2 linked regions of the Arabidopsis thaliana genome follow. The protein of the gene in region 2 interacts with the protein of the main gene of each other region in a pairwise test. Each region holds a gene or a part of one and is shown on either strand. Other genes may lie near its edges.

Evidence for each region.
Region 1: the proteins of AT2G23070 (region 2) and CSK interact in a two-hybrid assay, tested with the Arabidopsis thaliana proteins (one study listed by BioGRID).

What each region holds. Positions count from the first base shown.
Region 1 is NC_003070.9:25,432,169-25,437,604, reverse strand, and holds CSK (chloroplast sensor kinase), read right to left. Parts: upstream 3,579-5,436; 5' UTR 3,450-3,578; coding exon 3,033-3,449; intron 2,945-3,032; coding exon 2,783-2,944; intron 2,707-2,782; coding exon 2,404-2,706; intron 2,298-2,403; coding exon 2,232-2,297; intron 2,130-2,231; coding exon 2,061-2,129; intron 1,973-2,060; coding exon 1,880-1,972; intron 1,712-1,879; coding exon 1,506-1,711; intron 1,411-1,505; coding exon of another isoform or gene 1,407-1,410; coding exon 1,133-1,406; intron 1,012-1,132; coding exon 766-1,011; 3' UTR 509-765; downstream 1-508. Other genes in the region: FXG1 (alpha-fucosidase 1), read left to right, coding at 4,633-4,864, 4,939-5,318, 5,394-5,436. UniProt on the Arabidopsis thaliana protein: Sensor kinase that senses the plastoquinone (PQ) redox state involved in stoichiometry adjustment of both photosystems (e.g. long-term adaptation via transcriptional regulation of reaction center genes of photosystems I and II) and state transitions (e.g. short-term adaptation involving reversible post-translational phosphorylation of light-harvesting complex II, LHC II), thus linking photosynthesis with gene expression in chloroplasts.
Region 2 is NC_003071.7:9,823,081-9,828,952, forward strand, and holds AT2G23070 (Protein kinase superfamily protein), read right to left. Parts: upstream 3,819-5,872; 5' UTR 3,792-3,818; coding exon 3,412-3,791; intron 3,078-3,411; coding exon 2,948-3,077; intron 2,829-2,947; coding exon 2,634-2,828; intron 2,427-2,633; coding exon 2,269-2,426; intron 2,066-2,268; coding exon 1,975-2,065; intron 1,837-1,974; coding exon 1,771-1,836; intron 1,665-1,770; coding exon 1,582-1,664; intron 1,485-1,581; coding exon 1,421-1,484; intron 1,305-1,420; coding exon 1,236-1,304; intron 1,145-1,235; coding exon 1,082-1,144; 3' UTR 562-1,081; downstream 1-561. Other genes in the region: CKA3 (Protein kinase superfamily protein), read left to right, coding at 4,148-4,233, 4,479-4,608, 4,690-4,884, 4,973-5,130, 5,284-5,374, 5,507-5,572, 5,662-5,744, 5,863-5,872. UniProt on the Arabidopsis thaliana protein: Casein kinases are operationally defined by their preferential utilization of acidic proteins such as caseins as substrates. The alpha chain contains the catalytic site. Involved in the regulation of various developmental processes.

The sequences.
Region 1 (5,436 bases), on a different chromosome or scaffold from region 2:
GAGTCTTTTACTGTTTTAATTTGTCATATTCTTTGCTACAAAACAAGCAAAAAATATACAATAAATAAACCCAAGAATTTGCAAGATCTTTCCGAAAATAACGGAAGAAGATAAGATGGTGCTAAAAGAAAGCAACATAATCAAGATACATATTTGTTACTTTAACAGTGAAAGAAATTTTATTTCTTACCTTAGAATTGTATGAATGGAAAAGATTTGGACTTTTGGTTAACCAAAAACTTTATTTTCTGGAAAATTGTGTATTAAATAGAGAGGTTGGAAGTGATGAAAAAAAAAATAAAAAAAAATAGAGAGGTTGGAAGAATTGTATGGCATTGCTATATTTTGAGTGATTTAAAGCCAATGAAAGTTTGACTATGTCCATTGATAAATAGAGTTGCCAAACTCTATAATAAGGAAAATGTAGATTTCGTACCAAACTGAAGAGTCCACTTTCTTTAATAAGAGGTCCCCCACGTGAGAAGTTTAGAAGATGATACGGTAAAAAGGCATTTGAAGGTAAAAGAAGATTGAAAAACAATTGCAATCAATTTTGTTCAAGTCTTCCTATATCACTTACATAAGAATAGAGCTATATATTTACGTTACAAAGTCCACATATGTAGACATGACTCTTTTGGGTTTATGTACATATTAAGGTGTTATTACACATCGATCAACATATCACAAAATAGACTATACATTGGCTTCACCACAAATCGGACTCGAGACTAAAAAGATTCACAAAGAGATGGAAATGAAAACCTATGCTTCATTGGCTTCAGATACTGCTGCAGGGAAGGCAGGCAGCCAGAGCTCTACACGAGTACCGCCAGCTCCTAAGGCTGCATCGGAGCTGCGAGGTGATATAACCCTGATCACGCATCCGTAACTCTCCAGGATCTCTCGGGCTACGGTTAAACCAGCCACAAAGTTCCATGTCATATTGTCTTCAACCATGTTTTCCGACAGGAGTTCTGCTCCAAATGGTGTTAGCGAATGCATTTGCGTCTGCATTGATGTAACAAATTTATGTTAAAAAGCAATATGATTCTCATATTAAACTGGTTAAGCCCTCAGACTTAAATACAGGAAGTAAAAAGCAGCAGAATATAAGTTCGGTCTTGATTACCATATAGCGCATATCAGGACCATCATCATCAATTACTACAAGACTACCGCCAGCAGGAGCTCTGGTCGACAAAATTTCAACTTTCCCCCCAACATGAGTGCGCAACAATGCACCTTCGATGAGGTTGCTCAGAGCTTGCCTCAAAGCTGGTTCTTCAACAGCAACTTGCAGGGAAGCTGAGTTCTCACCTAGCTCCACTACTCTTTGCTGAGTAAGTGCTAGTGGTCTCACAGTCTCGACCATATCTAAAAGCACATTAGAAATGTCGCATGGTCTTCCTGACATAAATGAAAGAGATAAGCCCTCCCAACACTTTGTTTCAAGTGAAGAGTTTTGTGGCAAGACGTTAAGTTAATTGCTCAGAAACTTGTACCTTATACTGTGCATTTGTAGGGGTGCCAGGGCAAGAGGTGGCATAGGCATTTCTGAATCATCTAATCCAGAACCCAAGGAAAGGCGTGTACTTGAGATTTGTGAGCCATCAATGGGGTCCTTATGTTCATACTTTGATCTCCTTGTTTCATTGTGTGTTTTATTTATCTTCTTTAGGGCTTCTTCGTTGTGGCGCACTATATTAGCCTGAAAATGAAATGCTTGTAAGAAATACAAACCGAAAAATCAAATTCGAGTATGGTTTGACAGATTTCCCATGCGCAACACATCTAAAGACAGATTTATAAAGACAACTGAAAATAGAGTGATGACTCTCTCAAGAACCAAAAGGGACAAAGTAAAAGAAGGTGTAACCTTTGTCAAGTGAACTGCATCCTGAAGTTCTTCAAGGGTATCCTTTATTTGATCACCTTGAACTATTAAGTCTTCCACAATATCATGTGAAATCTACAATGTACAAAAACCCAAGTCAGTCCGATAACTGCAAGACTCAGGGAGAATAACATTTCCGGCTACAAATGCTAATTGCAAGGACCTGATTTCTCTTAGTGTGAGTTGAAAGCATTTTACTTAAAGTCCTCATGGTAGAGAGCGGACCACGGATCTGCCAATACGCAAGAAAGAAAAATGCGTAATATAAACTAAAAGGAGACATTAATTAACATAAGATCTATGTGTACTAAGTTAACAAGTGCGTGGCTTGTACCTGCTCCACTAGCTTACTCATCCTCACATTGTTTTGCCAAGATGACTGTTGAAGTAACATTGTTTTCTATACATACCCAATAATAAAAAAAAAGATCAATAAGGATTAAAGCCAACAAAGACGGTCAAGCAAAAACATAAGAACAAAGGAAAAGACAGGATATAAGAACAACCTGATCCATGACATAAGCCATAGCGAGAGTCCGAGAAATATTAATCGCATACGATCTCTGCTCTTCAGTGAAAACCTTAACAGAAGGAAGTTTAACTCTAGGTGATTTTGTATTAGCTGAAGCAGGCAAAGCATAAGCTTCCTCAGGGGAAAGAAACTGATTTACACCATGCGGTTTTTCCTCTTCCTCCTCCTCCTCCTCCTCCTCGGCTTCTACTGGTAACTCAGCAACCAAGAAACCGACAACAAACGGGTGTTTCACCATTGGAAACACAGCAGCTCTATGTTTACTCACAAGTTCTACCTATCATCCACATATTATGTCAACAAAAAAACCATAAGTAAACTTGAGTTTAACGCAGAGGAAGAAGAACACATACTTGTTGACTAGAAAGTGATGCTTCAGCTGCTCGTAGACCCGCAGGGATACCAAAGTTTCCAACTAAGATCACAACGTCTCCAGCATTAACACTTGGATAACAAGTGACACGACGCAACTCTAATCGATCCATCACATAGCTACCAGCTGGTCTTACATATATCTAAACCAAAACCAACATAAAAATTCAACCTTTAATCTAACAACACTCTATTTTCAAGCAACAATGATGTAAAAAAGCAGAGACGCACCGAGAGTACTGCGTTTGGATCAACGATTTGACGAAAGAGATCTAATTGCTCAAGACAAAGCCGTTGAAAATCAGGACTTGGCAAGATAATCTTAGTCTTGAGATGGTCTTTCTCAATCATCTGTGTGAACTCTACAGGAGTTGTTGAAGCTCCACGAATCGCGGAAGCTATAGCGGAAGCAGAAGCAACCATGGTCTCTCCTCCTCCGGGTTCTGATTCTTCATTAGATACAGTGTGGTTTACGTAACGGAGACCGCGTGTAAATATAGAAGACGACGACGAGGAGGAGGAAGAAGAAGAGGCATTGAGGAGCTTAAGGGAGGGATTAGAAGGTCTAGGGTTTGGAATAGAATTGGAGAAGTGTAGATTAGGGTTTGATGAGAGAAGGGTCTGAGAAGCGATTGCAGAAAGAAGCATCACTACGGAAGACGACAGTGGAGTCTTTACTTTGTGGCTGAGACTGAAACTCTCGCGAGGAAGACGATCGATATACGATTATAGTTTACACACAAAACAACTACAACTAAACGGCATCGTATTAACAGACTTGTAATTATAGTTTACACAAAAAACAACTACAATTAAACGGCACCGTATTAACAGACTTGTAACAGTTTCAGATGAGAGGAATGTAAAACGGCGACGTTTTGCCATCTGATACATTAACCTCTAAGAAGAACATTCAGTTGTTTTTAAATTATTGTAAAGTTTTTACGACGTTTAAACATTTTCACAAAGTTTCGATAATTTATGTTAAGCATCACTTCGAAAGTTGTGATGACTGGTGAACAGAATTCACTGGGAAAAAAATATTAGTAGGGCATTAACAATACATTTCTATTAACAACTAGGGGTATTTTTCTTAAATTTTCATGTTTCTACTAATGTTTAAACACACGTTCTTCCAAACTTGTAGAATGGTAACACATCTATTAAAGTAAGAAAACACTATGTTGTTCCCCATAGCTAAAAGAGGCCAAGAAAATGTTAGATGGTCAATCAGTGAGCTTACTATTAATCATATTTATGTAGCCATAGCCAATCAAACGAAGCAAAGCCCTTTTCAACCAGTTGAACAAATCCAAACAAGCATGTTTCAACCATTTTGGAATCCAAACAATCATCTCTACGAACGAAACCACACAACAATCTCACAACCCTGTTTCATTAATGTTGCGATAATCGTGAGAGTGTATACACGACAACTCATGCAAAAAAAGATAAAAGAAGATTTGAGAAAAAAAACGTGATAGAAAATAGAGACAACAAATTAAAAAAACTAGATATCTACAACGAAAATAAAATAAAATATGAAAATGGAAAGCTACCATATAAACTTAAAAAGAAAGAAATAAGAAGAGAATCCTCCAAAGAAAGAAAGCATATTTGTATGATGGTAAACTTACAAGTATTTTCGTAAACATATTCAAAATGTATTGATTTATAACTAACCCTATCTCAATAAAAACATATCACAAATCTCTGATTTTTGTGTTTTGCCAACCTTCTTTCTTTTTCTGGTAGGGGTAACGTTTCTCTTCTTTTGAGGATAAAAGTCCCGTGATTGAGTTTTGGTCTCTTTACATCTTTAGCTTTACCAATGAATCCAATCCTATCTTCTTTGTTTGCTCTCTCTTTGCTTTCTTCACTATCACCATCAACACATGCCCATCAATGCCATTTCCCAGCAATCTTTAACTTTGGTGACTCTAACTCCGATACCGGCGGTCTCTCCGCTGCTTTTGGCCAAGCTGGTCCTCCTCACGGCTCTTCCTTCTTCGGCTCACCCGCGGGACGATACTGCGATGGTCGCCTCGTCATTGACTTCATAGGTACACTAACTCTTCCCTATCCAAAACGTTTGCGTTTTTTGTTTTTGCTGATTTTGCTTCTGTTTTGAACATAGCGGAGAGTCTTGGATTACCATATCTAAGCGCGTTTCTAGACTCCGTTGGTTCAAACTTCAGCCACGGCGCTAACTTCGCTACCGCGGGATCTCCGATAAGAGCTCTTAACTCTACTCTACGTCAAAGTGGATTCAGCCCATTTTCACTCGATGTACAGTTCGTACAATTCTATAACTTCCACAACAGATCTCAAACTGTTCGTAGTCGTGGAGGAGTCTACAAGACAATGTTGCCTGAATCCGACAGCTTCTCAAAAGCTTTGTACACTTTTGACATTGGTCAGAACGATCTCACAGCAGGTTACTTCGCTAATAAAACCGTAGAACAAGTTGAAACCGAAGTTCCTGAGATCATAAGTCAGTTCATGAATGCTATCAAGGTTGGTCTCTCTGTTTCTGACTCTGATTTTGTTTAAAGGGAAATCATAAAAATGTGTTTTTTCTTTTGGTGATAGAATATTTATGGACAAGGAGGGAGATACTTCTGGATTCATAACA
Region 2 (5,872 bases):
TCTAAATATGAAAAATGTAACGTTTCAATATAAAAACAGGAATGAAAAACAGAAAAATCTTTTTTATTTTTTTTTGGCCAGAATGAGAAAATCTTTATCACACGAAACTGATTATCTAAAGCATTCCAACAGAATACATCATTCAATAATCTCATTTACTCATACGCGTGAAATCTCACTTTGGATTAAGGTGTCAAAACTCAAAAGATAATCTTAATTCACAAGACTGCACACCGGTTATCAAACGTTTTTAATCGTTTCCAAAGTAAATATTTATTTCTCTTTTGGTGGATGATTTTCTCCAATAATTTGAAAAAAATAACTGATTGATGGATCATGGATGCATATATATACTGAAAATCTTGCACAATTATTAGTTATATATTTCCATATTTGGTTTCATATGTTTTAGACACAGCAATATCTTTGCGTGTGCGTAATTCACAAAATTTTAAGAGATGAGTAATTTTTTTAAGGCATCATTTTCAACAAGAAAGAAAGAGACAGACAGCTATATTGTAAACTAATATAGGATGATTGCATAATCATTTGGACAAAGGGAACCAGAGAGATTAAACTAAACTTAAAAGATATAAGACAGATAGGTCGAGGTTGTTCCACAGACACAGTACTCAAGATCGGATTACGTGCTTAATGTCCCCTAATCACTATTTGGATTAGATTAGAGATTCTTGTGCTTTCTTATGTCTACAGTTATATATCTAACTGACCGACCATCACTCTCTACTCCCGATGCGAGCTTCTTCTACCTTCCACGGAGCTGTCAAAACGGGCTAACTAAAACCGGCAAGCCAAACCAACCTGTCCCGCTCAAGAATATGAAATTTTCCAGAAAATTAAAAATGAGAAGAAAAGAAAGAAAAACCTTTTGAAACCCGTCTTGTGGATATTTTTTTTTATATAATAAAATTCAAATGAGTTGAATGAAACACTGAGAAAGAGCAAAACAGTAACACACGCACACTTGAGAGAATGAAACAATGACAGATCGATTTATAACAAATTTGAATCCGTAAAGAAATGAAAAATCAGAAGATTGAACAAGCAAATGTTTTCGAGATCACTGGCTGCGCGGCGTACGGCTGCTCTCTGCATTTCTAATCGGATAGAAATATGGATGCGCCTGTAAAAATCCATCATATTCTCTACTATCACTTATCTGTAATTATAAGAGAAAATCTTTAGAAAGATATTAAAGAAAAATTGTTGCTTACCATTGCTTCTTTAGCTGTTGGCCTTTCTTGGTGATCATATCTCAGCAACTTGTCCACAAAATCAACAGCCTTCATTAACCAAAAAGTATATGAAAACAAATGAGTCATGTTCGTCCAAAAAATCCGGTGTTTTGGTCTTAACATGAAGGCTTCATAATTGTATAGAGAAAAGTTAAGTGTTGTACCTCAGGAACTGCTAAGTGCTGGTTTTCAGAATTGATGAACTTTGTCCATGGCTTCCGGCTATGTCTATATAAAATCAAGAGTGCATAATTTAATGTTCTGAAATGATAAGGCGCAAAACTGGAGTTTTTAGAGTTTTTCATAACTTTTTAAACCGGATTACCTGCCCACGAGGGATGTTAGATTAGGGTCCAACTCTATACGGTATTTGTTTAGGTAGGCGTTGAGTTCATCTGTGCCAAGCACCTGCCATAGTTATAAATACATAGAATCGTATTTTTAGCTATAACTTGGAGGAATGTAAAATCTGTTCAGAGGAGACGAGACATGATGAAAGCTTTTGTAATGTTACCTTCGCAATTTTGACCAATTGATCATAGTTGTCATGGCCATAAAAGAACGGCTCCTTGCGGAATATCTGCAAACAGTAGAGTATACAATATTCACCACTTAACTAACTTAAGGAATGGTAAAATAACCAAAATGTACTGTCGAATTCTTGTCATTCCATTACAGCTTAAACCAAGTTAACTAAATTCTAGCTTAAAACGCTTACCATTCCAGCAAACATACACCCAAGACTCCATAGGTCTAAGGAATAATCATAGTCCTGTAAATCCACCAGCAGCTCTGGACCCTTAAAGTACCTGCTCATCAAATATGAAGTGAGAAATGATAATAGTATACATCAGCTAGACGAAGTTAGATAATATGTTTCAACTAATCTCAAGAGCTCAATGCATGCAATCTTCAACATTTCTTATCTAGACTCTCTATGAGCAGAAATTTAGCAACTGCAACAAATAGAATCTTGCAGAGGAGAGATTAGCAGATAGCCAAAAGGAACTACCTTGAAGCAACACGGACATTGTATTCTTTCCCAGGATGATAGAATTCTGCCAAACCCCAGTCAATTAAACGAAGTTTTCGCTGCTCGTGATCAATCATGACATTATGTGGTTTCACATCTCTGTGCATGATTCCACGTGAATGGCAGAAATCCAACGCCTGCATAAATGTTAAAAAGAAACAACAAACAGCATCAGAAACAAATTCGTACCCTTTATAACTGAAGGCTAGTGGATTCAAAAGTCAAGTAAGGTAAACAACAGTGTATGACGCTATACATCTATGATATATCTACCGATTACTTTTGCCAATTGCCAAAGCCGCAAAGAAAATCATGGTCTACAATTCAGGAAACTGAATAATTACCTTTAGAAGTTCAAAAATGTAATATCGAACATCATAGTCTGAGAGAGTTGGATAGAGAACTTTGAAATCTTTATTGTTCACATGTTCAAATATCAAGCTGGGCGTCTTAGACTGCTGATCTCTAACAATGTCGAGCAATTTTACAATATTAGGCCCACCGCAGAGGTTCTGCAGAATCTTAATCTCTCTCTTAATCTGCGTCAAGGAGAAGCAAAATATGTTAGAGAATAATTCAAACCAAGTGAAGGGCCAGAAACACACTTCATTCTGAGCACAATTGAGATAAAAACAAGCAAGCGGCTGTATCTACTCACCTTCTTCTTCTTCACAGGCTTCAAAATCTTGATAACACATTTCTCGTTATCAGTAGCATGAATGCCTTCAAAGACCTCACTGTATTTTCCCCTTCCTACCTTCCTCACCACCTCATAATCATCCTGTACACTGCGGCATCAATGAAGCTAACTCAAACACTAATACACCAAACAGTAACAACACCATACAAACTCAAGATATCAATTCAACAATCTAGTTCACATAGACCAGCAATTTTCAAGAGATTATATACAAACAAAACAGATACCAATACAAACAAATCAGATACCAATTCTGCATTACTTACGAGATTATATCATCAATCAAAAATATGAAACGAAACCCTAAATCTACATTCCACATTGATTCCAGAACAACCAATCCCAAACCAATCTATAACCAAAGGCAAACATCTAGAAATCGACGTAATTAGGTTTAATTAGAGAAGAATCTGAAGATATACCCCCATTGAACAGCAAGGGACTCGTAATCCCAATAGTCCTTAGGTCTAACAACGTTGACATCAGCGTAAACCCTAGCTTTCGACGGCGCACCGGCACGCCGGATAGATTTACCGATCTTCTGAGCCAGCGTTTCTGATTTTTCTTTCACGCGCGATTGCTGTTGTTGCTGATGTTGTTGTTGTTGATTCCGGAGATGTTGACGGTAAAGAGAAGCGCTGGATGCGAAACGACGGAGATTGTCCTGGAGCGAAGAGAGAAGAAGATTCCTCTTCGCCGGAGACGACGAAGAGAAGGAGAGGAGAGAGAAGAGATTGTTGTTGGCGGCGGAAGCGTTGCGAAGAGAGGAGATTGTGAATCCAGTACAAGGCCTTAAGGCCATTAATGTCTTTTTTTAACTCTTATTCAGAAAATGAAAAGTGAAGGTAACGAATTTGCTTTATTTCTCTCCTTTCTTTTTCTTTGGCTTCTCTTCGAAACGATGTCGTTTAAACAATTCGGTCCGGTTATAGTGTGATTGAAATCGATCCGATTGGGTTTGTTTCGGTTCGAGTGTGGTTGAATCGGTTCGATTTGGTTTAGGTGGTTTTTGGGTATCAGAGATTCTTCTTCAACCTTTTTCTAATCCTGCACAACGCACTTCTTCTGTTGTCATCATCATCGTCCACTTGAAACAAACCTGACGATCAAAGAGAAGATTGCGATCGCAAATTTCTCCATTTTTTCAGATCGAAATTGATGTCGAAAGCTAGGGTTTATACAGATGTTAACGTTGTTCGTCCTAAAGAGTATTGGGACTACGAGTCTCTCGTTGTTCAATGGGGGTAAAACTTCTAGCTTTAGAATTTTTCTTTGATGAATTTACGATTTTTGACTTCTTTTTGATAAATTTTCGGTGGAATTTGATTGATTTGTTGCCAAATCGAATTCGAAATCAGAGAAATTGGAATTTTTTAGGGTTTGGACTTAGGTCTCTTGAAGACACTTTGTTTTAAGTATCTATTAGCAAATATTGGATTTTGAAATTCAACAGTGTGAGATTCTTAAATACTTTTGTGTGATTCTTCAGTCATCAAGATGATTATGAGGTTGTGAGAAAAGTTGGTAGAGGAAAATACAGTGAAGTTTTCGAAGGCAAAAACGTCAATACGAATGAGCGTTGCGTTATCAAGATCCTCAAACCCGTAAAAAAGAAGAAGGTGATCAGTTAGTAGAACTCATTTCTGATGAATTTGCATACATAAAGATGGCTAATTTTGCTGAAACTTGATGTTATGCAGATAAAGAGAGAGATCAAAATACTTCAGAACCTATGTGGTGGACCAAATATTGTTAAGCTGTATGATATTGTTAGAGATGAGCACTCCAAAACACCTAGCTTGGTATTTGAGTTTGTCAACAGTGTGGACTTTAAAGTATTGTATCCAACATTGACTGATTACGATATCCGGTACTATATTTATGAGCTTCTGAAGGTAATGTATCGGTATTTACCATAAATGACTTTTACCGTACATACAAATGTTTATCGTGGAATCCAGAGCTGATGTTATTGCATTTCAGGCATTGGATTTCTGTCACTCTCAAGGAATAATGCATAGGGATGTTAAGCCTCATAATGTCATGATAGATCATCAGCTGCGTAAACTTCGTCTGATAGATTGGGGCCTTGCTGAGTTTTACCATCCCGGAAAAGAGTATAATGTTCGCGTGGCCTCGAGGTAATATCCGATACCACAGCTTAATTCCACCTGTCTTGGCAAGCCTAAGAGGGTCATTCGTAGATGCCAATGATTGAAACTTTTAGCTGTGCAATCAAAGCTTCTTGTAGTTGTTAAATGCATTAGACTAAAAACCTGTGAATTAATTGCCAGATACTTCAAGGGTCCCGAGCTTTTAGTTGATCTACAGGATTATGACTATTCTTTAGACATGTGGAGTCTTGGTTGCATGTTTGCTGGCATGGTGAGAACTAATAATCCCCTCACTCTTCTCTCTAGCTTCAATGCTGAAGCTATTGCAAGCATTTGAATTTCCGAATGGTAGTCGTTAATACTTTGCTGTTGCTTATTCACTTGTCAAATATTGATGCTGCAGATATTCCGTAAGGAACCGTTCTTTTATGGCCATGATAATCATGATCAACTTGTCAAAATTGCCAAGGTATATTGCTAGTCTATGACTTATTGGCATAAAATTACATTGTAAACTTAAATCCATGTATATGATTTCTGATTGAAACGTGTGCATAGGTGTTGGGAACCAATGAGTTAGATCATTACCTAAACAAATATCAGCTAGATCTTGACCCTCAACTGGAAGCACTTGTTGGAAGGTTTTATTCCATCCCTGAATCTCTCTGTCTTTAAAAGTCAAAATTGTTGCTGTTCTCAACTCTGGCTCAGTTAATTTTATACCAATGAGTTAAAACCTGAAGTCACTCTTATTTGTAGACATGTCCCC